Linked DNA regions of Macaca fascicularis. The protein of the gene in region 5 interacts with the protein of the main gene of each other region in a biochemical or structural test. Links are inferred from orthologs where the notes say so. Each region holds a gene or a part of one and is shown on either strand. Other genes may lie near its edges. The genes, in order: CHD8, HNF4A, UBE3A, CBY1, CTNNB1, CSNK1A1 and MUC1.

Evidence for each region.
Region 1: the proteins of CTNNB1 (region 5) and CHD8 form a complex in vitro, tested with the Homo sapiens proteins (3 studies listed by BioGRID). The link is inferred for Macaca fascicularis from reciprocal best matches to the Homo sapiens genes CTNNB1 and CHD8.
Region 2: the proteins of CTNNB1 (region 5) and HNF4A form a complex in vitro, tested with the Homo sapiens proteins (2 studies listed by BioGRID). The link is inferred for Macaca fascicularis from reciprocal best matches to the Homo sapiens genes CTNNB1 and HNF4A.
Region 3: of the proteins of CTNNB1 (region 5) and UBE3A, one has a biochemical effect on the other in vitro, tested with the Homo sapiens proteins (3 studies listed by BioGRID). The link is inferred for Macaca fascicularis from reciprocal best matches to the Homo sapiens genes CTNNB1 and UBE3A.
Region 4: the proteins of CTNNB1 (region 5) and CBY1 form a complex in vitro, tested with the Homo sapiens proteins (2 studies listed by BioGRID and IntAct). The link is inferred for Macaca fascicularis from reciprocal best matches to the Homo sapiens genes CTNNB1 and CBY1.
Region 6: of the proteins of CTNNB1 (region 5) and CSNK1A1, one has a biochemical effect on the other in vitro, tested with the Homo sapiens proteins (2 studies listed by BioGRID). The link is inferred for Macaca fascicularis from reciprocal best matches to the Homo sapiens genes CTNNB1 and CSNK1A1.
Region 7: the proteins of CTNNB1 (region 5) and MUC1 form a complex in vitro, tested with the Homo sapiens proteins (5 studies listed by BioGRID). The link is inferred for Macaca fascicularis from reciprocal best matches to the Homo sapiens genes CTNNB1 and MUC1.

The regions. Positions count from the first base shown.
Region 1 is NC_088381.1:89,079,578-89,083,760, reverse strand, and holds part of CHD8 (chromodomain-helicase-DNA-binding protein 8), read left to right. Parts: intron 1-162; coding exon 163-418; intron 419-1,973; coding exon 1,974-2,184; intron 2,185-2,418; coding exon 2,419-2,614; intron 2,615-3,127; coding exon 3,128-3,295; intron 3,296-3,494; coding exon 3,495-3,674; intron 3,675-4,125; coding exon 4,126-4,183. UniProt on the Homo sapiens protein: ATP-dependent chromatin-remodeling factor, it slides nucleosomes along DNA; nucleosome sliding requires ATP. Acts as a transcription repressor by remodeling chromatin structure and recruiting histone H1 to target genes.
Region 2 is NC_088384.1:100,474,971-100,479,937, forward strand, and holds the start of HNF4A (hepatocyte nuclear factor 4-alpha), read left to right. Parts: upstream 1-1,921; 5' UTR 1,922-2,045; coding exon 2,046-2,160; intron 2,161-2,283; exon of another isoform or gene 2,284-2,463; intron 2,464-4,967. UniProt on the Homo sapiens protein: Transcriptional regulator which controls the expression of hepatic genes during the transition of endodermal cells to hepatic progenitor cells, facilitating the recruitment of RNA pol II to the promoters of target genes. Activates the transcription of CYP2C38.
Region 3 is NC_088381.1:3,748,176-3,751,888, forward strand, and holds the end of UBE3A (ubiquitin-protein ligase E3A), read left to right. Parts: intron 1-6; coding exon 7-150; intron 151-961; coding exon 962-1,082; 3' UTR 1,083-2,893; downstream 2,894-3,713. UniProt on the Homo sapiens protein: E3 ubiquitin-protein ligase which accepts ubiquitin from an E2 ubiquitin-conjugating enzyme in the form of a thioester and transfers it to its substrates.
Region 4 is NC_088384.1:12,994,911-12,999,540, reverse strand, and holds the start of CBY1 (protein chibby homolog 1), read left to right. Parts: upstream 1-1,347; 5' UTR 1,348-1,349; coding exon 1,350-1,464; intron 1,465-1,669; exon of another isoform or gene 1,670-2,309; intron 2,310-4,630. UniProt on the Homo sapiens protein: Inhibits the Wnt/Wingless pathway by binding to CTNNB1/beta-catenin and inhibiting beta-catenin-mediated transcriptional activation through competition with TCF/LEF transcription factors.
Region 5 is NC_088376.1:104,069,421-104,073,603, forward strand, and holds part of CTNNB1 (catenin beta-1), read left to right. Parts: intron 1-660; 5' UTR 661-708; coding exon 709-721; intron 722-828; exon of another isoform or gene 829-960; intron 961-1,167; coding exon 1,168-1,395; intron 1,396-1,591; coding exon 1,592-1,845; intron 1,846-1,970; coding exon 1,971-2,209; intron 2,210-2,297; coding exon 2,298-2,499; intron 2,500-3,846; coding exon 3,847-3,991; intron 3,992-4,183. UniProt on the Homo sapiens protein: Key downstream component of the canonical Wnt signaling pathway.
Region 6 is NC_088380.1:156,431,069-156,435,976, reverse strand, and holds the start of CSNK1A1 (casein kinase I), read left to right. Parts: upstream 1-1,860; 5' UTR 1,861-2,332; coding exon 2,333-2,455; intron 2,456-3,126; coding exon 3,127-3,233; intron 3,234-4,908.
Region 7 is NC_088375.1:105,954,189-105,956,965, reverse strand, and holds the end of MUC1 (mucin-1), read right to left. Parts: coding exon 2,673-2,777; intron 2,528-2,672; coding exon 2,406-2,527; intron 2,318-2,405; coding exon 2,168-2,317; intron 1,140-2,167; coding exon 1,065-1,139; 3' UTR 754-1,064; downstream 1-753. UniProt on the Homo sapiens protein: The alpha subunit has cell adhesive properties. Can act both as an adhesion and an anti-adhesion protein. May provide a protective layer on epithelial cells against bacterial and enzyme attack.

The DNA.
Region 1 (4,183 bases), on a different chromosome or scaffold from region 5:
TTCTGAACTCCTTATAACCTTGTGCCTACATCATTTGTGGCATCATCCAAAGTATACATTTCTTAGATAATGGAAAACTGTAATTTTTCCATGTTTCTACATAATGTGAGAATGTTTGCCCTCATATTATTGATTTCTTTTTCTGTCTGTAATGGACTACAGGTTCAAAAGCTACAGGCCATTCTTAAGCCAATGATGCTGAGAAGACTCAAAGAGGATGTTGAAAAAAACTTGGCACCCAAACAGGAAACTATTATTGAAGTAGAGCTGACTAACATCCAGAAGAAATACTATCGGGCTATTTTGGAGAAGAATTTCTCCTTCCTTTCCAAAGGGGCAGGTCATACCAACATGCCTAATCTACTTAACACAATGATGGAGTTGCGCAAGTGCTGCAACCACCCATATCTCATCAATGGTGAGGGAATTCTTGGTATATACCTGAACTTCTGAGTACCTGTGTTTACTTTCTAGATGATACTCCTTGGGGACAGTGAATGCATTGACTCATCCAACCTAATTTGGGGTGGGGACTGAGGAATGGGAAATGGTTCCCCTTTTTAAAAAGAGATTCTAAGCCTGGGCAACATGATGAAACCCCACCTCTACAAAAAATACAAAAATTAGCCAGGTGTGATGGCAGGCATCTGTGGTTCCAGCTACTTAGGAGACTGAGCTTGGAGGATCGCTTGAACCCAGAAGGCAGAGGTTGTAGTGAGCTGAGATCGCACCACTGCACTCCAGCCTGGGCAACAGAGTGAGACCCTGTCTCCAAATAAAGTAAATATAAACAATTCTTATTTGGAATGTTTTTCCTCTAGTTCTTTCTACCCCTTTGATCCTGCATAATCTCCAAAATTAAATAGTATTTGCTGTTTAGAATTTCATGAATAAAAACTCAGGTTAGCCACACAGTGGCATGTACCTATAGTCCCAGCTACTTAGGAGGCTGAGGCAGGAGGATTACTTGAGCGCATGAGTTTGAAGCTAGCCCTGTCTCAAAAAAAAAAAAATCTCAAGTTACTGTGTTCCTTGGATAAATGTCCTCATCCACCCTCCATTTTGCTGTTTCTGTCTCTTTTTTGGGTGCTGGTAGTGTGTTCCATCTTAGTCCTTGTCCACATATTTACATCTTTTTTTACCCAATTATCATAGGCCTGCCTTACTTGGCATATTTTGTATGACACAACGAAGGATGATTTAAATTTTTTATTTTTATTTTTATTTTTTTTTTGAGATGGAGTTTCACTCTTGTCACCCAGGCTGGAGTGCAGTGGTGTGATCTCGGCTCACTGCAACCTCTGCCTCCCGGGTTCAAGCAATTCTCCTGCCTCAGCCTCCCAAGTAACAGGGATTACAGGCGCCCACTACCACGCCTGGCTAATTTTTTGTATTTTTAGTAGAGACAGGGTTTCGCCACATGGGGCAGGCTGGTCTCGAACTCTTGACATCAGGTGATCTACCTGCCTCAGCCTCCCAAAGTGCTGGGATTACAGGCGTGAACCACCGAGACCAACTGATTTTTTTTTTTTTAAACACAGAGTCTTGCTTTGTCGCCCAGGCTGGAGTGCAGTGGTGCGATCTAAGCTCACTGCAAACACCACCTCCCGGATTCAAGCGATTCTCCTGCCTCAGCCTCCTGAGTAGCTGGAACTACAGGCCTCTGCCACCACACCTAGCTAATTTTTGTATTTTTAGTAGTGACGGGGTTTCACCATGTTGACCAGACTGGTCTCGAACTCCTGACCTCAAGTGATCCATCCACCTGCCTCGGCCTCCCAAAGTGTTGGGATTACAGGCGTGAGCCACCATACCCAGCCGATTTAAGATCTTTTGGTGCTGAAATTCTGTGTGTGAGAAACGTTGGTCTAAAGTTAAATTATATTTTTTTCCCTTTGCTTTCTTGATTAAATAGACTACAACCTTAATATGGCTCACTGGATCTCAATTTAACTTGATTTTTCTTTTGGCAGGTGCTGAAGAAAAAATCCTAACAGAATTCCGTGAAGCTTGCCATATTATACCTCATGACTTTCATCTGCAGGCCATGGTGCGTTCAGCTGGCAAACTGGTTCTTATTGACAAGTTACTTCCAAAACTTAAAGCTGGTGGCCATAAAGTTCTGATCTTCTCTCAGATGGTACGCTGCCTAGACATCCTAGAGGATTATTTAATCCAGAGGAGGTAAGAAAAGGGTCATCCTAGCCTGTGGTTACTCTGTCCTCATAAAGCAGCAAAAAGTAGGAGGGCCTGAGTTTAATTAGAGTTGACGAATTGCAATAACAGGAGTTTTTAAGATTCTCACTCTCAACTTGGGTTTTTGACCAGCTTTGATATGGGAGTACTGGTATTGATCCTAGCCTGCTGTTTCGGTCTCCACTTCTGCTTAGCCACTTATATTTTTTTTTCTGTGAACAGGTACTTATATGAACGCATTGATGGGCGAGTTAGAGGAAACCTTCGACAGGCTGCCATTGACCGCTTCAGCAAACCTGACTCAGACCGCTTTGTCTTCTTACTGTGTACCCGGGCTGGTGGACTTGGTATTAATCTTACAGCTGCTGATACCTGCATCATCTTTGATTCAGACTGGAATCCACAAAATGACCTGCAGGTAAAGGAATTCATTGTCTTAGGGAGTAACTACCTAACTTGGGAGATTTTTCAACAAGAATGGGATCTTTTAGAAAGGACTTTCAGAGAGTTTGGAATTGTTTCCTTAGTTAAGGGTGGCAGTTAGTTCAGGGAATCAGCAAACGTTTTCTGTAAAGGACAAGATAGTAAATGTTTTAGGCTTTGTGAGCCATCGATTCTCTGTTGAAACTGCTCACCTCCAAATCCTGTAGCACAGAAACAGCCATAGATAATATGTAAATGAATGGGTGGTCCCACCTGTGTCCCCATTGAACTTTATTTATAAAAACAGATGTCCACGCAGACTTTAGTGTGCTGACACCTGGTCTACATAATATGGTGATAATTTCATCTTGAAATTGACTCTTGGTTTTGAGTTTATCTCATGGCTGCTCTATAGAGGTGAAAGAGTCATAAATCGGTATTTTGTATCCTTTCCCCTGCTAATTTTATGGTATCTTTCTTCTTTCCTTTCATTTTTATTTTAAACCAGGCCCAGGCACGATGTCATCGAATTGGGCAGAGCAAAGCTGTGAAGGTGTACCGCCTCATCACTCGTAATTCCTACGAGAGAGAGATGTTTGATAAGGCTAGCCTCAAGTTGGGATTGGATAAAGCTGTGCTTCAATCCATGAGTGGTCGGGATGGCAACATTACTGGAGTGAGTCTTCTTAGTTTATAGATGAGTTTGTAGTGAGTCATTGTGATAGAGGAAAACAAAAGCTGTTTTTACACAGGGATTTGACTACCTTATTTGGATTCTTAATTATTATTTCTTAAAATGTAATAGATAAAATATTATGGCATGGTTAGATATTATTCTGTTGATAGTCTTTTCATCTTTCTATTGGTTTTTACAGATCCAACAGTTCTCTAAGAAGGAGATTGAAGATCTTTTAAGAAAAGGAGCATATGCAGCCATCATGGAGGAAGATGATGAAGGCTCCAAGTTTTGTGAAGAGGACATCGACCAGATCTTGTTAAGACGAACTACAACCATCACCATTGAATCTGAAGGAAAAGGTTCCACCTTTGCCAAGGCATGTTCTGTCTGTGCCAGAGGCTAGAAAGGCAGAGATAGAGACTGGAATCTCTAGGATTTAATTATGTTTTTATGCTGGGGATGGTGGCTTATGCCTATAATCCCAGCACTTTGGGAGGCTGAGGCGGGCAGATCATTTGAGGTCAGGAGTTTGAGACCCAGCCTGCCCAACATGGTGAAACCTTGTCTCTACCAAAAATACAAAAATCAGCCAGGAATGGTGGCATGTGCCTGTAGTCCCAGCTACTCAGGAGGCTGAGGCAGGAGAATCACTTGAACCTGGGAGGTGGAGGTTGCAGTGAGCTGAGATTGTGCCACTGCACTCCAGCCTGGGCGACAGAGCAAGACTGTCTCAAAAAAAAAAAAAAAAAGTTTTTAAAACATAGTTGCTGATTTTGCACCACTTAAAAAAAAAAGTCAGCTTTACCTCTACATTTGTTTTTCTCTAGGCAAGCTTTGTTGCTTCTGAAAATAGGACAGATATTTCTTTGGATGACCCCAACTTTT
Region 2 (4,967 bases), on a different chromosome or scaffold from region 5:
ATAGTGACTGAGCCAGTTCCTAAACCCAGGTCTCCTGACACCAAATCTAGCCTCTCTTGTCCTCCACAATAGTTGCTCCTTCTCCCCTTTCCCTGCAGGATATAGCACTTCCCAGTCATCTCAGCTTCAGAGGTCAGATCAAGTGGGGAGAATAAAGCTAAGCAGGGCAGAGAAAGGGCTTCTAGCAGTGGGAAGAACATGGAGATGCCTCCTCAGAGCACTCAAACACATGCTCTGACTCCCGATTTGCTCACTCATTAATTCACCCACACATTCACTCATTCTCTCACTCGTTAATTCACCCACTCTTTAATTCTTTCACCCATTTGCTCATTCACTCACTCATTAATTCACCCACCCATTCACTTATTAATTTACCCACCCATTTGCTCACTTACTCAGTAATTTACCCTCTCATTCATTCATTCACTCACTCAATTCATGCATTCAGTCAACTCACTCATTAATTCACCGTCTCTAATTCAATCACTCCTAATTCACCCACTCATTAATTCCCCCACACACTCACTCATTAATTGGTGCTCCCACTAATTCACCCACTCGTGCTCACAGGTGTCACCAAGTCCCTCCAACCTGCCCTTCCAGTCAGCAGCAGAGGACAGGCTCCCAGGCCTCCCAAGTCTCAGGCTTTCCTTCCTCTGCCCTCACTCTCTGCCTTCTACATCAAGACTTTACTTCCCCAGATTGATTGGCAGCCCTTGAAAATGTCTGCACAGAAGGCAATGAGGGCTGGAGGGAGTGAGAAGAACAGAGCGCACCATGAGCTTCAGACAGCCAGGACCAGCTGTGTAGTTTTCAGGGCCCCAACCAAAACAAAAATGCACAACCCCTTGTTCAAAAGTCATGATGGATTTTAAGTCATGATGAACCAGGCACCAGGACTTTCTAAGGGTTGGGCTGCCTGTGACTGCACTGGCGATACCCCCACCAAGCCCACTCTGAAGGTAGGAGACAGGTGGAGAGAAACGGGGATGGAAAGGGGGATACACAACAGGGAGAGGGAGGAGGAAGAGAATGGAGGTCTATGAGGCCCCATTTGGTGTGTGACTTATGCCATCTCATTTCCTTCTCAGACCACCCTTTGAGGCTGATTGTACATTTTACAGAGAAGGAAACTGAGGCTCAGAGAGAATCATTTACCCAAGGTCCCAGTTAGTAGATGGTAGGCGCCAGAATGTAAATCCAGGTATCTGCCTGCTCTGGGAGGGGGTGGGGGTGGGGGAAACAGGAGAATGTGACGGGAAAATCCGAGATGGAGTTGGCCTGGGCAGAAACACTGGGAGCTGTGGGAGATGGTGAGGGGCAGGGTGGGATCACAGGGAGCAGGAGCAGGGAATTGGAGGTGAGTCTGGCCCTCCCAAACTTCCAGTCCATTCTGCTCCCAGGGGAACCGGGAAACTGCAGGGGAATTGGAAGGGAGCTCCCAGAACAAGGATTCAGAAGATTGGCATCTGGGGCCTGGGATTTAGGTTTCTAAATCATGGGCCATGGGGCAGCCTTATCTCCGCAAGAGCATTGAGGGTAGAAGTCAATGATTTGGGAAGTTATTGAATTAGGGGATCTCGGAGGTAGGCTGTCAGTGCCTGATAGTATCAGTTAGAATTCCTGACTTGGGGTGACAATGGCTTGGAGGGGTGGGTGAGTCAAGGGTCAAATGAGTGCCCATGAGTCATGATGCCTGCCTTGTACAATTGATAACTGAACATCGGTGAGTTAGGGCCTCAACAGTTGTAATTAGCACCCCGGGTGTCAGCCAGAAACCAACAAACAGCCAAATCCCTGCAGCCCCGCCCTGCCTATCCACCGGCGGGGGACCGATTAACCATTAACCCCCACCCCTCCCCGGCAGAGCCTCCACCCCTTCACAGAGGCTAGGCCAAGACTCCCAGCAGATCTTCCCAGAGGACGGTTTGAAAGGAAGGCAGAGAGGGCACTGGGAGGAGGCAGTGGGAGGGCGGAGGGCGGGGGCCTTCCGGGTGGGCGCCCAGGGCAGGGCAGGTGGCCGCGGCGTGGAGGCAGGGAGAATGCGACTCTCCAAAACCCTCGTCGACATGGACATGGCCGACTATAGTGCTGCACTGGACCCAGCCTACACCACCCTGGAATTTGAGAATGTGCAGGTGTTGACGATGGGCAACGGTAGGTGGGGGCAGGTGTGTCAGTGGGGGCAGGTGTGCCTGGGTCCAGGAACAGATCTTTGGCACTCAACTTGGGGGTGGGAGGAGAATGATAGAAAATGGTAGGTTGGTCCTGCAGGCCAGCACAGGTGTTGCCAGGTGAAGCCCATGTGCCCAGGTGCAGTGATCACGGGCATTCCGGGGGAAGGGAGGCCTGCAAGGGCCAATTTCCAGCAAAAGTCGATCCCGGCTATTCCTCCCAGGCCCTTCCATTCCTCACTGCCTCACAGCGGCTCCGCTTGGCGCTTGGCGCAGTGACGTGATGGTGAGCTCCCCCTTGGTGCCCAGCTCCAGCAATTCAGCCCAGCACGGCCGCTTTGTGAACCCCTTGGGCCTAGGTTCAGAGAGACAGCAAGGGACATTGTATCCCTGGAGATGGTGGTTGGAGACATAACTGCATTTCTTGGTGTCTTTGGGACTTTCCTAGGGAAAATGGAGTTCTCAGGGAAGTCTTGCTAACTACAAAGCCAACTCAGCACTGTGTGTGTGGTGTGTGCGTTCGTGTGTGATGGTGAGTTTCCATGTAGGTTGTATGGGTGGGGTGATGCCTTCAGGAACACATTTGCATATGTGTGTTCATTTGTCTCTGTGTGTGAGTTCTGGGTCTATTTTCCTTTGTATTCATTGAGTGGGTCTGTGTTTGTGTCTCTAGGAGGTGCCCGTGTTGATCTTGCTTATGCATGTAAGTGACTATGTGTGTGTATGTGTGTCTGTGGATGTTGGTACATGTGTGCTGTGTGTGCGGGTCATAGAGCACATGTGTTTGTGCATGTAGACCTGTTGGAGTGCCCTGTTCTTCCTGCATCTTTATCCTGTGTGGGCGTTTTGTCGTGTGCCCATATTTGTACCTGCTGTGTACATATGCAGTCCCCCGTACTGCGGGCGGGGGTCAGCGGTCTCTGGTGTGCCCACATTTATACCTGCTGTGTACACACACAGTCCCCCGTACTGCGGGCGGGGGTCAGCGGTCTGTGGTGTGCCCATATGTGTGCCTGTGTACACACATAGTCCCCCATACTGCGGGCGGGGGTCAGCGGTCTGTGGTGTGCCCAGCGGTCTGTGGTGTGCCCATGTGTACCTGTGTACATATGCAGTCCCCCGTACTGCGGGCGGGGTCAGCGGTCTCTGGTGTGCCCGATTGCACAGACCCAAGTGCAGGACTTTGTTGCTGCCATTCACCAAGTGAGATTCACATCAGCAACATGTCTGTTTGTCTCTGAGCAGATTTTGTTGCGGGCGTGTCTCTGCAGATTTAGGCATCCCTCCGACATCTCCGGAGCATATCTGGAGGGGCGGGCAGTTCTCCTCCCCAGGGAGGTAGGGGAAAAGAGGAGGCCTGGAAACCCCTCCTGGAGGGAAGGGCGCCATCGGTCCCAGGCCAGCCTCAGAGGAGAGGGGGCAGCAGCTGGCTGAGGTCAGCCTGCCACCCCACTTCCTTGTGTGTCTTGGAGCCACACAGCCAGTATCAGGCTGTAGCTCCAGCTGAGGCCTGGAAGCTTGTGGTCAGCTCAGCTAGAGCGAGGAGGCAGCCGCTGGGCACTGCCTGTTGTCAGCTCAGCAGGTGCTCACCTGCCCCTGCTATCCAATCACTGTGTGACCTTGGGCATGTCACCTCCCCTCTCCTGGCTTCTGTATCTTCTACAAAACAGGCTTCACTCCTCCAGGCCTGCTGGCTGGCCGACTTTTAGGCCTGAGGACCATGCGAGGCGAAAACACACCAGAGATAGCAAACAAGTTGAAGCTGTACGAGGTGGAGTGTCGCATGGCCCCACGAGGACCGCTGCCCTGCCCCGGGCTGCTCCCCGACCCCATCACCTTTTCAAAGCCCAGGAACTGTGTGCTCCTGAGGCAGAGGCCAAGCCCCTGAACTGGATGTCCCAAAGACAAGATCACCTCCAGCTCTGGAACCAGAAAGATCTGGGCGCAAATCCAGCATAGATCCTTCCAACCTGTGTGAACGTGGCAAGGCAGTTTCCTCTCTGAGCCTGTTTCCTCATCTATAAAATGGGAATAAATAATAGTGTCTGCCTCCCAGCACTGGCCAGAGGATAAATAAAACAAGGTGCCTCGGTGCTTAGCCCTGGTAAAGGGCCTGGCCCCAACATGGGTTGTGTCAAGGGCTCTGAGCATCTGTAAGCAGGGTTCCCACGTTCCTCACTGGAGTTGGAAGTGGTCTGAATTGGGGTTATGTGAAGTTGTCCTCTGAAGTGTTTTGAGTACATCCTGGGCTGGTGGCTCAAAGGCTCCAAGGATATTTCTTCCCCGTCCACTCCCCACCCCAATGCAGCGGCAGCCCCAGGGGGCTCCTTGTTCATTAGAGGCCCCAGCAGACACCTCAACATGTGCGGCACTGGCCGGAGTAGCCCAGCAAGCCTGGACCATAAACCCGTGGCTCTGCTTCACAGCAAGCAGTGCGATGACATCAGAAAGCCACTTGTCCTCTCTAAGCCTCAGCGTCCTCACCTGCAGAATGGAGGTGCTCGGCTGACCTCAGAGGGGAGATGATAGAGCTGACAGCCCCCAGCCCATCCTGCCCCAGAGCTGGGAGCTACTTCCCCAGCCTCCTACTGAATGACCAGGAGCTGTGGGGTCAGTCTCCCCCGGGGTCGAGGGAGGAGAGGCCGAGGGAGAAAGGGCACCCATGTGGCTTAACAATTATCCCCATCTCCAGGAATAATTCACCAAGTCCTGGGGACACCTGGGAGTCTGTGAGGGCAGAAATGAGATGCGGCAGTGTCTGCTTGTGACAGAGCCTGGAAGTCCTCTGCT
Region 3 (3,713 bases), on a different chromosome or scaffold from region 5:
CATTAGGGAGTTCTGGGAAATCGTTCATTCATTTACAGATGAACAGAAAAGACTCTTCTTGCAGTTTACAACGGGCACAGACAGAGCACCTGTGGGAGGACTAGGAAAATTAAAGATGATTATAGCCAAAAATGGCCCAGACACAGAAAGGTAATGATTAAGTGGTGACTCTATACCTACTGAAAACCTTGCATTCCTCATCACACACATATGAACTGTCTTTATAGTTTCTAAGCACCTTTGTGATTTTATGTACAAATCCTGAAATCATATTAGACAATTGAGAAAATATTTTGCTGTCATTGTGTGAGGAAACTTTTAAGGAATTGCCCTAGTTAAAAATTATTATGGGACTCACATTGGTTTGGAATTTTTCAAATTAGTATGATTCATTTACTTTTTTGATTCCCAGCTTGTTAGTTGAAAGCCATGTTACATGATAATCTATTTAGAATGGTTACATTGAGGCTTGGAAGATTATCATTCGATTATGCTAGAATCCCGTTATCAAATCATTTTCATAGTCATATTGCCAGCAGTATTTCTAATAAGCATTTAAGAGCACACAGTTTGAAATGTTGTAAACCAGGTTTGAATATTTTCTCCACCTTAGAGGAAGTTACTTCTCAGTGACCTAACCTCTGAAGTGCATTTATTGATGTCCTCTCTGTGGTTTTGTTGTGGAAAAAGATTTAGTGAAATGAACTGTAATAATTAAATACCTAAAACGGTATCTGGTATGTAGTAAAAACTCAATGGATAAGTATCTTATCATCATTGTTACTAGCTTTGAGTAATTTATAGGATAAAGACAAACTGATTCTTGGTAGTTACACAACAAAAAGTTTATGATTTGCATTAATGTATAGTTGGCATTGCAAACCATCTCAACTATATATAATTCTAAGTGTATTTCCCATGACTTATTATTTTCCTGTTTTTTCCCCTTTTCTCTATTTAGGTTACCTACATCTCATACTTGCTTTAATGTGCTTTTACTTCCGGAATATTCAAGCAAAGAAAAACTTAAAGAGAGATTGTTGAAGGCCATCACGTATGCCAAAGGATTTGGCATGCTGTAAAACAAAACAAAATAAAACAAAAAAAAGGAAGAAAAAAAAAAAAGAAAAAATTTAAAAAATTTTAAAAATATAACAAGAGGGATAAATGTTTGGTGGTGATAGTGTCCCAGTACAAAAAGGCTGTAAGATAGTGAACCACAGTAGTCACCTCTGTCTGTGCCTCCCTTCTTTCTTGGGGACATGTGGGCTGGAACAGCAGATTTCAGCTACATATATGAACAAATCCTTTATTATTATTATAATTATTTTTTTGCGTGAAAGTGTTACATATTCTTTCACTTGTATGTACAGAGAGGTTTTTCTGAATATTTATTTTAAGGGTTAAATCACTTTTGCTTGTGTTTATTACTGCTTGAGGTTGAGCCTTTTGAGTATTTAAAAAATATATACCAACAGAACTACTCTCCCAAGAAAAATATTGCCACCATTTGTAGACCATGTAACCTTCAAGTATGTGCTACTTTTTTGTCCCTGTATCTAACTCAAATCAGGAACTGTATTTTTTTTTAATGATTTGCTTTTGAAACTTGAAGTCTTTGAAACAGTGTGATGCAATTACTGCTGTTCTAGCCCCCAAAGAGTTTTCTGTGCAAAATCTTGAGAATCAATAAAGATGGAAGGGAGAAATTGGAATGTTTTAACTGCAGCCCTCAGAACTTTAGTAACAGCACAACAAATTAAAAAAACAACTCATGCCACAGTATGTTGTCTTCATGTGTCTTGCAATGAACTGTTTCAGTAGCCAATCCTCTTAGTATATGAAAGGACAGGGATTTTTGTTCTTGTTGTTCTTGTTATTTTAAGTTTACTGGGGAAAGTGCATTTGGCCAAATGAAATGGTAGTCAAGCCTATTGCAACAAAGTTAGGAAGTTTGTTGTTTATTATAAACAAAAAGCATGTGAAAGTGCACTTAAGATAGAGTTTTTATTAATTACTTATTACCTAGATTTTAAATAGACAATCCAAAGTCTCCCCTTCGTGTTGCCATCATCTTGTTGAATCAGCCATTTTATCGAGGCACGTGATCAGTGTTGCAACATAATGAAAAAGATGGCTACTGTGCCTTGTGTTACTTAATCATACAGTAAGCTGACCTGGAAATGAATGAAACTATTACTCCTAAGAATTACATTGTATAGCCCCACAGGTTAAATTTAATTCAAAACATGTTAAACATTACTTTCATGTACTATGGAAAAGTACAAGTAGGTTTACATTACTGGATTTTCGGAAGTAAGTAGTTTCCCCTTTCCTAGTCTTCTGTGTATGTGATGTTAATTTCTTTTATTGCATTATAAAATAAAAGGATTATGTATTTTTAACTAAGGTGAGACATTGATATATCCTTTTGCTACAAGCTATAGCTAATGTGCTGAGCTTGTGCCTTGGTGATTGTTTTAACTGATTACTGTAGATCAACCTGATGATTTGTTTGAAATTGGCAGGAAAAATGCAGCTTTCAAATCATTGGGGGGAGAAAAAGGATGTCTTTCAGGATTATTTTAATTTTTTCATAATTGAGACAGAACTGTTATGTACCATAATGCTAAATAAAACTGTGGCACTTTTCACCATAATTTAGTGGAAAAAGAAGACAATGCTTTCCATATTGTGATAAGGTAACATGGGGTTTTTCTGGGCCAGCCTTTAGAACACTGTTAAGGTACGTACGCTACCTTGATGAAAGGGACCTTCGTGCAACTGTAGTCATCTTAAAGGCTTCTCATCCACTGTGCTTCTTAATGTGTAATTAAAGTGAGGAGAAATTAAATACTCTGAGGGCGTTTTATATAATAAATTCGTGAAGAAATGTGTGCTCTTCAGTTCTCAAGTTTTATTATTACGGTACTGAAGTTCTATGATTTTGTAATAATGTATCCATATGACAAATTTTAAAGTGATAATTGAAATAGGTTATCAGATACAGAATTCACATCAAGTAGACTTCTAACAGAGTCACAATGAACCTACCCTTAAAATTTTAGAGGGAAAAAATCATCAGTTGCACAGACTAGCTGCTCTAGCTTGCTTAATTATGCTAGGCATGTTGTCACTCCCCTTACTTTTGCTGCATGGAATGTCCCTGAACAATAAGGAAGAGGAAAACATAGAAGTTTTGACGATAGTGGATACTTCCTCTACCCCAAATGTTATGTTATAAAAGTACTTTTTTGCCCAGGTACTCTATTGTATAGTTTGGTTTTCTTTGAATTAGACCTCAATCTCCAGGAAGCTCTGGAGGGAAAAAAAGGAACCATAAACTAAAGTAACTGGTTTTCCAAATAAATGCTAACTTTTTTTAACTTTCATTGTAGAACATTTCAAACATAAAACATGAAAACAGCCTGCAGCCAAACTTTTCTGGACCTTGGCAGCTCCAGCAAATGAGCTGGTCATCCTAACCTTGGTTTCCTGAGATAACTACTTTTGGGGATGCTTGCTTGTATAGGGAGATCCATATCAAAAAGAAACTTGAAAATGAGGCTTCAAACAGACCTTGCTGTTATTCATCCCTCCTCGGTACAGACATTCTGTTAGAACAGATGGTTGTAATGGGGCAGCATCACTCCCTGTTCCCATTAAAAACATGACCCTTCTGAGATTCCAGGCCCCTTTGAGGAATTTCCCCA
Region 4 (4,630 bases), on a different chromosome or scaffold from region 5:
GATCACCTGAGGTCAGGAGTTCGAGACCAGCCTAGCCAACATGGTGAAACCCCCGTCTCTACTAAAAATACAAAAAATTAGCTGGGAGTGGTGGCGGGCGCCTGTAATCCCAGCTACTCGAGAGGTTAAGACAGCAGAATCGCTTGAACCCGAGAGACCGAGATTACGCCACTGCACCCCAGCCTGTACAACAGAGTGAAATTCCGTCTTAAAAATAAATAAATAAATAAAATTTGAAATGGAAGCAGTATAAATTTAGAAATACTGATTATATCTTGAAATAGTAATGTTTTAGACAAATGGAGTTAAAACATTACTCAAATTAATTTCACTTGGCTTTTTTTTTTTTTAACTTTTAAAAAAATGAGGCTACTAGAGAATTCCAAATCACATATGTGGCCTGCTTTATGTTTCTATTGTACAATGCTGAGCCAGACTGTGAAGATTTTAGTTCTAGGACATGGAAGTCTCCCCTCTTTTAATGCAGGGTGGTATAGTCGGAAGAGAACTGCGCTTGGAGCCAAAGACCCCTGGGTCCTGCCCTTCACTAGATGGATGCCTTGGTACACCCACTAGGCAGCCGGTAAACTCCTTGAACGACCTAAGTTTCTTCACTTATGAGATGGAACCAATAACACGCTGTTAGGACTCTAGGAGGCCTGGAGTTGATCGTCCAGTAGTTCTCTGTCCGTTGCTCACAGTGCGACTTTTAAGTAATCCCTGGGCCTCGGCTTCCCTTGCTTGTAGAAGCCGCCATAAGGGCATGGAGAGGGGGCAGACTGCCAGGGGTGGGTCATGGTGCGTCTGTCCGTCCATCTTACCTGAAAGCATCGGCGGAATTTGACGCACCCGGGGCCGGTCCCGCCACGGGTCCCTCAGTGGATCCCGCAAAGTTCTGGGTGGGCCCCCGACACTCGGTGCCCCAAACTCACAGCAAGGGGTGCCCTTTGCCTTGTGCTGAGGGAGGAGGAGGGGAGTTGGGGAGAGGCCCATTTTGCTACTCTGACTCCAGGCGTTCTCCAGGCAACGCCGGCGCGGTCACCACTTTCGCGTTTCCCATAACAATGGAAGCGTCGTGAGCCGCCGCGTTGTCCGCTAGACGCCGTTTCCATGGTGACAGCCCCGCCGGGGGCCCAGACCAATGTGTCTGTGGGGAGGGTGAGTGCAGGTCGTGGTCCTAGCCTGTAATGGGAGGCACGAAAAGGACCCCGGAAGACACTGCCTTTGTATAATCCGTTTACTATCCCGAGGTGATTCACGGAGTTTCTGGGGATTCGCGCAGGCTGGCGCTGGGAACCCCCGCGCCGGTGCCCCCTTTCCTCGGTGGTAGAGGCCGGGCGGGGTGGCGCATGCGCGTGGCGGGCTGGCGGCAGGAGGCGGGTGGGTCAAGGTATATCTGTACTACAGAGTCCCTGATAGGGGGTTTCGGGGAGCGCTTGGACCCTGGCTTCTGGGACGCGTCAGGTACGTCTCCGAGTCCGGCGTCGCCGGCCAGCACGGCCTGGGTTCACGTGGGGGCCCGAGCTGGGTGGGACGCCCGGGCCTCGCCTGGAGAGAGGCGTCGGGAGGGCGCGGGGAAGGGGGCGGAGGCCTGGCGACCCCGGGCGGTGGCCGCCCTCCTCTGTGTGTCTCCGCAGTTGTGAATTGGGGCGGTAATTCCTCCCCGTAGGTCGCCGTGAAGGTGATTGCATGAGATCGTGCGTGTGAACGTTTGTTGACAGCTGTTACTTGAGTCCGACAGCCCTGGGGGCCGTGCACCTGCGTAACATGGCTAGCTCTGAACTCCTTGGGGGACACGTATACTTTTGAGAATCCGATGAAAGCCAAAGGTTCCTCCCTTGTTTTCTTAGAATTAAAGTAAGATAATATATTTCATGGCCTGTTGCAAACAGAAAACCTTTACACAATGATTAGTGATCAGTATCTGTGGATTGGGGAGGCCCCACTTACTTGATCCTCTTCCCAGGGTCGTTGTGAGGATCAAGTGCACAGCTTCTTATAAACACTAAAACACTATAACATCTTGTGAGCCAGGTACTATTATTATTCCTCATTGCAAAGAAAGAAGCCGAAGCCCAAGGAGGATAAATGCTGGGGTCGCACTGTGGGTGAGCAGCAGAGTGATCATTGGAAGCCAGGTGCTCCCCCTTCACTTCCTTTGTGCCGAGCACGCTCGCCCCCCGGAGTTTCACTAGAAAGAAGGTCGCCATCGGCCAAGGGAACAGCTTGTACCTCAAGTGCACGCGGATGCCCCAGAATCCCAGGATCTCAGCCGAGCTGTTTGTGGATTATTAGATCTGACTTAAAAGGTAGCTAATCCAGACCCTTCCTCATCTGTAATATATAGATGACAGTTCCCAGCTGTAGTGTTATGAGAATTAGTGCGGTCATGAGTGAAGTACCCCAGTTAAAGCCCGAGAAGTAAAGCAGCTGGACCAAGGTCTAGCAAGCAACTGAGGGGCAGAGTCAGGCCCGAAACCTGGTTGTGTCCAGCCCATGTGCTCAGGCCCAGTGCAATTAGCGTCAGTGGGGACTTGGCTTATTTCTCCTTCTTCAAATGTCTCTAGGTGCTATGAGTGCTGGGGGCTGCTTTTTTTTTTTTTTTTTTTTTTTTTTTTTTTTTTTTGAGATGGAGTCTCGCTGGAGTGCAGTGGCGCAATCTCGGTTCACTGCAAGCTCCGCCTCCCGGGTTCACGCTATTCTCCTGCCTCAGCCTCCCGAGTAGCTGGGACTACAGGCACCCGCCACCGCACCCGGCTAATTTTTTGTATTTTTAGTAGAGACGGGGTTTCACCGTGTTAGCCAGGATGGTCTCAATCTCCTGACCTCGTGATCCGCCGGTCTCGGCCTCCCAAAGTGTTGGGATTACAGGCGTGAGCCACCGCGCCCGGTGGCGGGGGGCTGCTTTTTAACTGTGTTTTGTTTATTTTGTTCATAATACATGAATATATTCTCATTGTAATAATTCATTAAATCTCGAGTATATTTAATATAATTTTATATTGTACCATATGAAATTGTCACAATTTGACCTTTTTTTGATCTATAAAATGACAATTTCATTCAAGCCAGTCATCCTATTCCCTTTTTCAGGTTTAACCACTATGAGCAATTTGGTGTATCCTTCTAGATCTTTATTTCTTTTCTTTTTTTTTTTCCTTTGAGATGGGGTCTTGCTCTGTCACCCAGGCTAGAGAGCAGTGGCGCGATCTTGGTTTACTGCCACCTCCACCTTCTTGGTTCAAGCGATTCTCCTGCCTCAGCCTTTCAAGTAGTTGGGATTACAGGTGTGAGCCACCGCGCCCAGCTTAGGCCTACAATTTTATAATAATAATGTGCCACAAATTATTTGGCTACACCCAAATTGTTTGGATTGTTTCTTATTTTTTTACTGTTATCAACACTAGAGAACACTGGGTGTGAGCATGTCCAAGTCTTTCTAGAGTGTAATATTTTAGAAGTAGATTTGCTGTCCAAAAAGTGTACACATTTACAATTTTGCCAAGTTTTATTTGAGTGACCTTGAAAGAATTATAGCATCTTCTGATTCTACCAGTAATAACAGTGTCTTTTTCTTCACATCCTCATCAACCATGGGTATTATTCATCTTTTTAATTTTTGCCAATATGATGAATGAAAATGCATCTTTATAACGAATTTTTTTTTTTTTTTTTTTTTTTTTTTTGAGACAGAGTCTCGCTCTGTCACCCAGGCTGAAGTGCAGTGGCCGGATCTCAGCTCACTACAAGCTCTGCCTCCCAGGTTTTACGCCACTCTCCTGCCTCAGCCTCCCAAATAGCTGGGACTACAGGCGTCCGCCACCTCGCCCGGCTAGTTTTTTGTATTTTTAGTAGAGACGGGGTTTCACCGTGTTAGCTAGGCTGGTCTCGATCTCCTGACCTCGTGATCCGCCCGTCTCGGCCTCCCAAAGTGCTGGGATTACAGGCTTGAGCCACCGTGCCTGGCCCGAATTTTTTTTTTGAGATGGAGTCTCACTCTGTCACCCAAGCTGGAGTGCAGTGTCATAATCTCAGCTCACTGCAACCTCTGGCTCCTGGGTGCAAGCAATCCTCCCACCTCTGCCTCCTGAGTAGTCCCTCCCATGTGCCTCCACAGGCGCACACCACCACGCCCAGCTAATTTTTTGTATCTTTGGTAGAGACAGGGTTTTGTTTGCCATGTTGCCCAGGATGGTCTTGAACTCCTGGACTCAAGTGATCTGCCTGCTTCTGCCTCCCAAAGTGCTAGGATTTATAGGCATGAGCCACCATACCCAGCCTGGGGTAGGCAAACATTTTAAAAATAGAATACGAACACTAATCATTAAGAAATAATAGTAAATTGGGCTGGGCGCAGTGGCTCACGCCTGTAATCCCAGCACTTTGGGAAGCCGAGATGGGTGGATCACGAGGTCAGGAATTCAAGACCAGCCTGGGCCGGGCGCGGTGGCTCAAGCCTGTAATCCCAGCACTTTGGGAGGCCGAGGCGGGTGGATCACGAGGTCAGGAGATCGAGACTATCCTGGCTAACATGGTGAAACCCCGTCTCTACTAAAAATACAAAAAACTAGCCGGGCGTGGTGGCGGGCGCCTGTAGTTCCAGCTACTTGGGAGGCTGAGGCGGGAGAAT
Region 5 (4,183 bases):
TGTATTTATAATAAATCATTGCTATAAATTTGAACTTAGAAAAATTTTACTAATGAAGGTGCTTTTTGTGTTGCAAACTTTCATTTGAAAAGTAATTTTTCTTTGTACTAAAAAATCTAAAATTCACTATTCTAGTCACCAAAATTTGCTCTATGAAAAATAATTTTTGATGGCACTGTATTATATCAGAAAACAACTAACTTGTTAATGAAAATGTGGAGTTTTTAAAATCCCACTGTACCTCTGTTATCCAAAGGGGATCTGTGAATTTTTCCGTGAAAGGTTAAAAACACGAGAGACCTTTTGGAATTCAGAGAGCAGCTGATTTTTGAATAGTGTTTTCCCCTCCCTGGCTTTTATTATTACAACTCTTTGCTTTCTCATCACCATCCTGATTATCTGTAATTTATATTTCTACTATTAATAAAAAGATGTATTTGGTAAGGAGGAGTTTTCACTGAAGTTCAGCAGTGATGGAGCTGTGGTTGAGGTGTCTGGAGGAGACCATGAGGTCTTGTGTTTCACCAAATAACCTGGTAAAAGAGTATATGGGGTTTTTTTTGTGGGTGTAATAGTGACATTTAACAGATATCCCAGTGACTTAGGAGTATTAATCAAGCTAAATTTAAATCCTAATGACTTTTGATTAACTTTTTTTAGGGTATTTGAAGTATACCATACAACTGTTTTGAAAATCCAGCGTGGACAATGGCTACTCAAGGTTTGTGTCATAAATCTTTAGTTACTGAATTGGGGCTCTGCTTCGTTGCCATTAAGCCAGTCTGGCTGAGATTCCCCTGCTTTCCTCTCTCCCTGCTTACTTGTCAGGCTACCTTTTGCTCCATTTTCTGCTCACTCCTCCTAATGGCTTGGTGAAATAGCAAACAAGCCACCAGCAGGAATCTAGTCTGGATGACTGCTTCTGGAGCCTGGATGCAGTACCATTCTTCCACTGATTCAGTGAGTAACTGTTAGGTGGTCCCCTAAGGGATTAGGTATTTCATCACTGAGCTAACCCTGGCTATCATTCTGCTTTTCTTGGCTGTCTTTCAGATTTGACTTTATTTCTAAAAATATTTCAATGGGTCATATCACAGATTCTTTTTTTTTTTTTAATTAAAGTAACATTTCCAATCTACTAATGCTAATACTATTTCATATTTATAGCTGATTTGATGGAGTTGGACATGGCCATGGAACCAGACAGAAAAGCGGCTGTTAGTCACTGGCAGCAACAGTCTTACCTGGACTCTGGAATCCATTCTGGTGCCACTACCACAGCTCCTTCTCTGAGTGGTAAAGGCAATCCTGAGGAAGAGGATGTGGATACCTCCCAAGTCCTGTATGAGTGGGAACAGGGATTTTCTCAGTCCTTCACTCAAGAACAAGTAGCTGGTAAGAGTATTTTTCATTGCCTTACTGAAAGTCAGAATGCAGTTTTGAGAACTAAAAAGTTAGTATATAATAGTTGAAATAAAATGTTGTGGTGAAGAAAAGGGAGTAATAGCAATGCCACTTTTACCATTTAGGATAGCAAATACTTAGGTAAATGCTGAACTGTGGATAGTGAGTGTTGATTAACCTTTTCCAGATATTGATGGACAGTATGCAATGACTCGAGCTCAGAGGGTACGAGCTGCTATGTTCCCTGAGACATTAGATGAGGGCATGCAGATCCCATCTACACAGTTTGATGCTGCTCATCCCACTAATGTCCAGCGTTTGGCTGAACCATCACAGATGCTGAAACATGCAGTTGTAAACTTGATTAACTATCAAGATGATGCAGAACTTGCCACACGTGCAATCCCTGAACTGACAAAACTGCTAAATGATGAGGACCAGGTGAGCAATGACATGGCTAGCTTTTTAGTCTGCTTTGAAGTAAATGCTCAAGGGGAGTAGGTTCAGAATGTCTACCCACTACCAGGACTTGAAAACTAATGATGTTTCTGATTCTTGTATTATAGGTGGTGGTTAATAAGGCTGCAGTTATGGTCCATCAGCTTTCTAAAAAGGAAGCTTCCAGACACGCTATCATGCGTTCTCCTCAGATGGTGTCTGCTATTGTACGTACCATGCAGAATACAAATGATGTAGAAACAGCTCGTTGTACCGCTGGGACCTTGCATAACCTTTCCCATCATCGGGAGGGCTTGTTGGCCATCTTTAAGTCTGGAGGCATTCCTGCCCTGGTGAAAATGCTTGGGTAAGAAAACATTGTCAGAATGCTTGAAGCTAAAAAGTAGAAGAGTATAGTCACAATAGTTCTGATGAGGCTTTTTTCTTCTTCCCAGTTCACCAGTGGATTCTGTGTTGTTTTATGCCATTACAACTCTCCACAACCTTTTATTACATCAAGAAGGAGCTAAAATGGCAGTGCGTTTAGCTGGCGGGCTACAGAAAATGGTTGCCTTGCTCAACAAAACAAACGTTAAATTCTTGGCTATTACGACAGACTGCCTTCAAATTTTAGCATATGGCAACCAAGAAAGCAAGGTAAGAGAATTCTTCTTTATGTGGTTTTCATGGAGCATCGGACACTTCCAGTGTCATGTCATTCCATGCAGTGTTCCTAACCTTTTTGGCACCAGGGATCAGTTTCGTGGAAAACAGTTTTTCCATGAATGGGTTGTGGGAATGGTTTCTGGATGACACTGTTCCACCTCAGATAGTCAGGCATTAGATTCTCATAGGGAGCGTGCAGCCTAGATCCCTCGCATGTGCAGTCCACACTAGGGTTTCCGCTCCTATGAGGTTCTCATGCTGCAGTTGATCTGACAGGAGGTAGAGCTCAAGCCAGGTAATGCTCGCTCACCTGCCACTTACCTCCTGCTGTGCAGCCCAGTTCATTTCTGTTCTTTTAAATTTTTGAGTTTCCATATGTAAAGCACTATGCAAAGTAATAGGGATATCATAGGCAAGCTTCTCTTCACACTTTTGTAATTAGGTGGGATGTAGATGTTGGGAATAATAACCTAATATTTAATTCATGTAGTGGGAAGAAGTGGGGGCTATGAGAGCACATTACACAAGTGAAACAGACTCTTTATGAGGGTTCAAGGAGGTACCTCTTGGAGGAAGTGATAGTTGAGTTCAGTGTTCAAGGATGAGAAGGGATTCACTAGGTGAAGGTTAGGTGAGAAACAGCATCTTTGAAACGAAGGAAGGAGATGGAAAGTTTTGGGAATTTAAGAAATACTAACAGTAAAGAGGAAGAAAGGTTTGAGGTGAGGCTATTGAGATAGACTCAGCAGATCTCATAGGGCTTTGTACAGCATGTTTAAAAGCACAATGGGAAATTTCAGCAGAAGCATGAAATGATGAAATTTGTTTTTAGAAAATTGGGGCAGTGTTGAAAGGGAAGATACACAGGGGATGAAAGGACAAGAGTGAATGATCATTTTATGGTATCTCTTTTTAAGGTGGATATAATTAGGAAAATTAAAGGGCCAAGTGATAAGGAGTTTTAAGTGCCAGTTCTGGTTCAAATTTTCAGTGAATCAGTTTTGATATAACTTTCATCTTAGGGCATTAATCTTGCCTGCCAACATGGTTTCTAAATTTTTTTCTTCTGCTATGATCAGTATGGGAAGAAGGAAATTGGGCCAAAACTGATACATTCTTGGGAGGACTGGGATGTCTGAATTTGAGTGGAATGCTTTAAAAGGACAAGTTGGATAGGGCCCCAGTATGGGGGTCAGAGTGATGGGGTCCAGGGATACATTTAGGTCCAATGACAAGCTGGCTGAAATTCTTGTATAATAAAATATGTTGGTAATATGGCTCTTCTCAGACATGTGATCAAGATTCCATGACTAACAAGATATGTATATATCTTTCTAGCTGATCATACTGGCTAGTGGTGGACCCCAAGCTTTAGTAAATATAATGAGGACCTATACTTATGAGAAACTACTGTGGACCACAAGCAGAGTGCTGAAGGTGCTATCCGTCTGCTCTAGTAATAAGCCAGCTATTGTAGAAGCTGGTAAGTATATGTATCTATTCTGAGTCTTGTGTACAGCATCTGCAGTTCTAATTAGATTACTTTTCTTAGGAAAAGGTGGTAGAACTTTAACGACTGAAAATAGATGGTCCTATTCAATTTGCAGCCAAGATTACATTCAAGTACCTGTCATCTGGATTGTAGCTAAATATTTAAGGCTAGTTTAGATAGAGT
Region 6 (4,908 bases), on a different chromosome or scaffold from region 5:
CATCTCGGCTCACTGCAACCTCCGCCTCCCGGGTTCAAGCGATTCTCCTGCCTCAGCCTCCTGAGTAGCTGGGACTACAGGCAGACGCTACCATGCGCAGCTAGTTTTTGTATTTTTAGTAGAGACGGGGTTTCACCATGTTGGCCAGAATGGTCTCGAACTCCTGACCTCAGGTGATCCACTCGCCTCTGGCCTCCCAAAGTGCTGGGATTACAGGTGTGAGTCACTGCACCCGGCTGCGTTTTAGACCAGAATTTAACAGCAGATTTTAACTTAGTCAAAACATGCTTTAGAGTCACCAAAGGCGAACGATGTCTAATAGTGGTGATTTGGGAGTTGGGCACCCTGGGTGTTGGTTGTGCCTTAAAACTTCATGCTAAACTTTAGGGGAAGTCTCTTCCCCTCTCTCTTCAGTTATCTTCCGAGATGAACCCTATTACTAACCTTAATTACTTGATCACCTTTCAAAGTTGCAGTTAAAATTCTTCACATTTTTCTCTCATTTCTATTTAATTATTTTTTTGAGAGAGGGTCTCTCTGTTGCCCAGGCTGGAGTGCAGTAGCGTGATCTAGTCTCACCGCAACCTCCGCTTCCGAGTAGCTGGGGTTACAAGTGTACGTCATCACACCCAGCTAATTTTTGTATTTTTAGTAGATACGGGGTTTCGCCATGTTGGCCAGGCTGGTCTCGAACAACTGACCTCAAGTCATCTGCCCGCCCCGGCCTCCCAAAGTGGTGGGATTACAGGCGTGAGCCACTGCGCCCAGCCCTCATTTCTATTTTAATTAAATTTTATTTAAGATAGGCTTAGCTTAAATGTTTACGACTGAGGTCTGACTTAAGATGATAGCATAAACCATGGAGCTTTCTTTTGTGAACATTACTATTACTCAACCCAATTTTCCCAGGTCAAATTTTGTAATACAAAACGTGGTCAAGATTTGATTCTCTGATCGATTTTTAGTAAAAAAGAAAAAAATTTCCGTGTAGCTTTAAATGTTGTCAATTAAATTTTGTAATAGTTACCTCTACTCTGTTCAGGTTAATACTGCGGTTTTCAACATGACCAACATACGATTCTTTGTTGTTGTTTTGGTGGGGTTGGGGGGCATAACAGTTTTTTCACTCTTGTTAAATTAATTTTCTGTTGATTCCATCTATCCCTAATCTTCACTATGAACAAGATACTGGGTTTTCTTCTGAAGATCAAAAGTGGTAGTGAGGCAATAATGCAAAGACGTAGGACGGCAGGGGGATTCCGGCTTCTTTCTTTTTTCCCCTCCTGTGGAAAGAGGGTCTATAACACTCCGTAGTAGAGAAGAAAATTCTAATTATGAAGGGTAATTAGCTAGGTTTTGCTATAACCGAGAGCCCTGAACGATTCCTCAACGCGGGCTGCTTTTCTCTTCCTCTCCACCAGAGGCGATAGCCTCTTTCCAAACAGAAACTGGGTTGGAATAGGCCGGTCCTGGGGAGCGGCCAGAAGAAAGATCAAAGGTTAAAAACCGCCTCAAAGAGCAAAGGTCAATACCCAACTCCTAAGGAGGCCTGACACGAAACATGAAGGTGACTCCTCCCAACATCGAGGCCTGGGGCCACTCAGCCTTCCAGAGACCCTGCGGGTCCGAGGCGAGTAACAGGTAACACCGGCTGAGCCGCCGCCGACCGGAAGTGGAAGAAAGCCCGGGGCGGGGTGAGGCAGGCCGCGGCACGCCTGCGCAGTCAGCAGGAGTTGCAGCGCTCATGCGCTACTGGGCGGTGACAGGGTGACGCTCGGAGCGTGGGCCGCGACTCTCACGGATCCGGTTCCGCCCTCTAGCTGCCGATCCTTCGGAGCGAGCGCCCCAGATCCCTTTCCCAGAGTGCTCTGCGCCGTGAAGAAGCGGCTCCCGGGGACTGGGGGCATTTTGTGTTGGCTGGAGCTGGAGTAACAAGATGGCGGCGTCGGCGGAGTGACAGGGGTCCCTCAGGGCCGGAGCCGGCGGCAGTGGTGGTAGCTGTATCGCCGCCCTAGCTCACCGCGCCCCTTTTCCAGCCCGCGACGTCGCCGCGCAAGCGAGGCAGCGGCGGCCGCCGAGAAACAAGTGGCCCAGCCTGGTAACCGCGAGAAGCCCTTCACAAACTGCGGCCTGGCAAAAAGAAACCTGACTGAGCGGCGGTGATCAGGTTCCCCTCGGCTGATTCTGGGCCCCGAACGCCGGTAAAGGCCTCCGTGTTCTGTTTCCTGCCGCCTTCCTCCGTAGCCTTGCCCAGTGTAGGAGCCCCAGAGGCCTCCGTCGTCTTCCCAGAGGTGTCGGGGCTTGGCCCCAGACTCCATCTTCGTCTCTCAGGATGGCGAGTAGCAGCGGCTCTAAGGCCGAATTCATTGTCGGAGGGAAATATAAACTGGTACGGAAGATCGGGTCTGGCTCCTTCGGGGACATCTATCTGGCGATCAACATCACCAACGGCGAGGTAATCACCTGGGGTGGGGTTCACGATAACGCTGCGCTTTTCCTCATTCCCCCCACCACCACCGCGCACCCCCAAAGTGCTCGGGCCTCTCCTCACCGCACGCACTCGCCAGGGAGTCCAGGGAGCTAGTTTTCCTGGCTTGCGATCCTCGCCCGCTCTCTCCCTAAAAGGGTCAAGAACCCGATAGAAAAGGGTGGGGGAACTAGTTTCCCAGCTTGTTAAACACTTCCCATAAATGTCCCTTGGTCGAGCTGTTTTTTTTTTAACCGACTTTTAAGGTGGAAACGGCAAAATCCTCTTTCTGTGATTCCCATGCTTTGCTTTTCTTTTCTTTTATTTAATTTTTAATCCTGCTGGGCCTCTTGTTCCAATTAGAACAGTTTCCGATCGCCTAGTTCCTTAAAAACCTCTCACTACGTTCAGAGGTTGCCTCTTTTTTCTGGATGAATCATTTTCCTGCACTTTAGAGGACGTACGATTTCGTCACTACCCCCTGAAGAGGCCTTTGAGGCTGGTTGCCTCGTTTTATAATTACAGAGAGCTTTCTCTTTCCAGCTTTTCACTTCTTCCTTGTAGTCGCGACTTGGAGTTTTGCTAATGTCTCTCTCCTTTCCTAAATGACACTGAATCCGTAGGGATGTTGATGCCATCATCCCCTCTTTCCCCTGCAGGAAGTGGCAGTGAAGCTAGAATCTCAGAAGGCCAGGCATCCCCAGTTGCTGTACGAGAGCAAGCTCTATAAGATTCTTCAAGGTGGGGTTGGCATCCCCCACATACGGTAAGAACCCCGTGCATGTAGGCGATCCGCTGAGGGAAGCACGGAATGGGGAAGTGGGTAGAGGCAGGTAATGAGACCAGCTGAATCCGGGTCTTGTTTTGGTTACCTGGGTTCCTTGTAGCTGGTGCCTTCCTGTAAGTCATCGCAATCACTGAGTAAATTTCAATTTGCCAACTTATTTCATTGTATTACACTGCTCCATTTCGCTTCCGTCATTCTCTTCCCGAGGCTTTCGTTTGCAGTTATGCGTGCGGGTCATCTTTGATCCCTACGCGGAAGGGTTGGCTGCTGCCTTTTTTACGGCGGCACGTCTGATGTTCTTAGGTTTGTCCAGTGAAGTGGATTTGAAGGTGCTGAAGCGACCCGGCGGTGTCAGTTCGAGTTGCTATTGGAGCTGGCTTGGGAAATGGCTGCTCTTTTGTTGTGTTTTTGTTCCAACATGTCTTCCTCCTCCGCTTAGAAAATGGCGGAACGACGTGACTCAACCCCATATTCCTGCCCTTTTCTCAGCTTGGGTTCACAAATTATGCTTCCTTGATTCCTCCTTTAGCAGCCCCGAGTGGATTAAACCTTTGAAAAGCCAAGAATAAAGCTGCAGGAGGCGGTGTGGGGGTTCGAGGAAGGAGATGGCATAGTGACAATGTTTGTGATCTCTGCAGCAGATGTGACATGAAATTGTTGAATTATACTATGTAAAATCCTTTGTGGTTCTTTTAAAAGTGTTAATTACTCTTTCCTTTCGTGAATGGTCATATTTGGCACATTTCAGTCGGGACTAAATTTGTATAGGTAATGGCAAAGGCAGTTTGAGCAGCACCAACTATGTTAAAATTTACTCAAATCAATTGTATTAAAAGAAATCTTAATCACTTAGCCACACTTTGATAAGTAATTTTAACCTGTTGAGTTTGGCAGTAAATCTTAATATCAGAGAAATTGCGGCCTTTGTTGGTGTGGAATATTGGTGAGTGCAAATTGCAGTAACGCGGATAAAAGATGACGAGATAGAAAGACATTGTTCTGTCAAATGGTTAACTTTACTTTGGAGGGTTTTAGAGTAATGTTTTAACTTTTGGGATTAAAGAGCCTCTTCATGGAATGGAGACTAAAATATAGTTTAAAACCAAGCTATTTTTCAGCAACAATCTAAAATACCTTTTGCAAAAATATTCAGAATAGGTGAGAATGGTGTTTACTGTTTGCTGGAGACTCTCTTTTTTTTTTTTTGAGACTGAGTTTTCGCTCTTGTCGATCAGGCTGGAGTGCAGTGAATGGCACGATCTTGGCTCACTGCAACCTCTGCCTCCTGGGTTCAAGCGATTCTAGTGCCTCAGCCTCCTGAGTAGCTGGGATTACAGGCGCCCGCCACCACACCCAGCTAATTTTTGTATTTTAGTTTCACCATGTTGGCCAGGCTGTACTCGAACCCCTGACCTCAGGTGATCCACCTGCCTCGGCCTCCCCAAGTGCTGGGATTACAGGCATGAGCAACCGTGCCCAGGTTTTTTTCTTTTGAAACGAAGTCTTACTCTGTTGCCCAGGCTGGAGTGCAGTGGCGCAACCTTGGCTAACTGCAGCCTCTGCCTCCCAGGTTCAAGTGATCCTCCTGCTTCAGCCTCCCAAGTAGCTGGAATTACAGGCTTGCACTACTATGCCAGGTTAATTTTTGATTTTT
Region 7 (2,777 bases), on a different chromosome or scaffold from region 5:
GGAGGAAGGCCCCAGGCTAGGCGCTCTAAGCCTCCTGCCACACGTGTCCTGACCCCACCTGAGCCCACCACAGCTGCCAGGAGACATAGCTCTCTGGCTGCTGGCAGCAGGCCCCAACCAGGGCATCCGGGCCTGCCCTGCAGCACCAGGCCCTGGGGGAATGCGGTTGAGGGGACAGGCAATGTGCCTGGGCCCAAAGGGATCAGGGAACCAGAACCACTTCCCCATTCTCAGGGTGTTGTGGAGCCCACCCCAGGGGCAGCAGGCTGGTGGGGCAGCCGGGGTCAGGGAGGGGGCTGGGCCTGGTGCCAGCACCTGGATCTGACCCAGCCTCCGCTTATCTCAACCCTGTTGACTCTGGGCTGTTAATCACTGCCCAAGGATTTACTTCACACCCGGACAGCTAAGAATAGAGCCACCTGGGGGCACTGTGCCAGGGGGCAAGGAGGGCGTGGGCCAGGCGAAGAGGGGGAGAGCCACTGGCACACAGAGCCCAGTCACGGAGCCCAGTCATGCCAGCCCTCCAAAACCCGCCTGGGTTTCGTTTCCTCCTTCCGCTTGTGCTGCCAGGGTTAGCCAGAGGTGGCTCCTCAGGCCACCCCTATACCCCAACGTCACCTCCTCCTCACATCTCCTGCTTCTCAAACAAACCTGCTCCTTACTGCCTCCTGGCCTCCCTGTCTCCTCCCCCAGGCCTCTCACACACATTCTGACCGCCCTGCTGCCCACGGGCCACAGATGAAAGATCAGAAGTTGGCGCAGCGGGAGGCCACGTTTTATTCAGTCCTGTTCAGGTCCCCTGCTATCTCCGGGCTCTCTGGGCCAGTCCTCCTGGGAGCCCCACTGCAACACTTCCCAGGCATAAGCCCTCAAGGGCCCCCATGAGCTTCCACAGACCGAGAAGGTTCTGAGAACTTGGTGGGGCCTCTGAGGAAGGCTGTGAGCAGCCCACCTGAACTCCCAGCTCACCAGCCCAAAACAGGGTGCAGGGGCTCTGGCCCTGAAGAACCTGAGTGGGGTGGACTGGCACTGGCTGGCCACTCAGCTCAGTAGGCGACGTGCCCCTACAAGTTGGCAGAAGTGGCTGCCACTGCTGGGTTTGTGTAAGAGAGGCTGCTGCCACCATTACCTGCAGAAACCTAGGTGGAAGGAAAAGAGATCCAGGGTGAGAAGCAGAAGGTACCTCCTAGAGCCCCTGGATGCCACCCCAGGCTGGGGTAATCAGTCCAGAGTCCTGGCCAGCTCTCAAAGGGCTTATTCAGAGAGAGCACCTGCCACCCCACCAGCCAGTAACTGTAAACAGGGCTGCCCTCCTCCCTCTGCTCTCCTTCACTTCCTCTTCTTGGCTCTAATCAGCCGCCTTGTCCCCCTATTCTCTGCTGTTCCAGTCAAAGAAGGTGTGTAGGTGTGTGTGTGTGTGTGCATATGTGTGTGTGTGTGTGTGTGTATCTGTGTCTTTGTAAAACCGAGAGAGGGAGGTCTCCAGGACGAGGAAAATAGGAGCAAGAAAAATAAACTCCTCTCTCCTCCCCAACCTGGAGTGGTTTTCCAGCCTCAGGTGGCTGCAGTAATTATTTACTAGGTCCCACAGAGAAAAGCCAGGAGAGGAAGGAGGGAGGGTTCCTTACTTCCTTGAAGCTCCCAAGAACCCAACTGGCACCCAGGCTCACCTGGTCTGCTGACACTTCTTCCTCTACCTGGGAAACCTCCCCCTACACCAGCCTTTCTCGGTCTACCCTCTATTCCTAGGAGATGATCAGGGGCACAGGGGTTCCCCCCTGTGACTCCTCAGGAAGGGCTCCCCTGGGCATAGTGCTCTACCCATTTTGCCTCTGGGTGCAAACAAAACAAAACAAAACAAAACTGCTGTGGTGGCACCAGTTCAGCCAGGGCCAGCCAGCATGAATGTGGACAGCCAATGCTCTTTTAGGAATTCTGGTAGTGGGGCCACTCCCTCTTGAGGGCCCCTTTCTTTCATGGTCTCCTCCCAGGCCTGTCCCCCAGAACTCCTCTGACCTCTGCGCCCCCATCCTTGCCAGGTCCTCCTCTGCTCACTTCATGCCACTTCTCACCTCTTCCAAGCTCTTTGGGTTTTCCAAGTACCCCCTTCAGAACCCTTGCCCAGCCAAAGCCTCTGCCTCCCCCGGCCTGTGGGGCCCAATCTCACCTCCTCATAGGGGCTACGATTGGTACCACCAGCGGGCACATAGCGCCCATGGGTGTGGTAGGTGGGGTACTCGCTCATAGGATGGTAGGCATCCCGGGCGGGAAAGATGTCCAGCTGCCTGTAGTTCTTTTGGCGGCACTGACAGACAGCCTGGGGAAATAGGAGGTTATGGCAGACCATGGAGTGCTTTCTGTCGGCGGGGGGGTGGGCACTGATCAGGGCCAGGGACTGCACTCACCAAGGCAATGAAATAGACGATGGCCAGCACAACCAGAACACAGACCAGCACCAGGAGCGCAATGCCCCAGCCTGGCACCCCAGCCCCGGTTTGGGCAGAGAAAGGAAATGGCACATCACGCACTAAAAGGAAAAGCAGTGGTTAGGGCAGTCTCCCAGAGGAGGTGCCCCTCTAACTGCCAGCACTAAGGAAAAAGTGGGGAACTAGACACTGGAAGGAGAGGGGCCCCAGCATGGTGCTGGGCTGCAGCCAGGGAAGTAGCCTCACCGCTGATGTCTGAGATCGTCAGGTTATATCGAGAGGCTGCTTCCGTTTTACGTTGATTGAACTGTGTCTCCACATCGTGGACATTGGTGGTACCTTCTCGGAAGA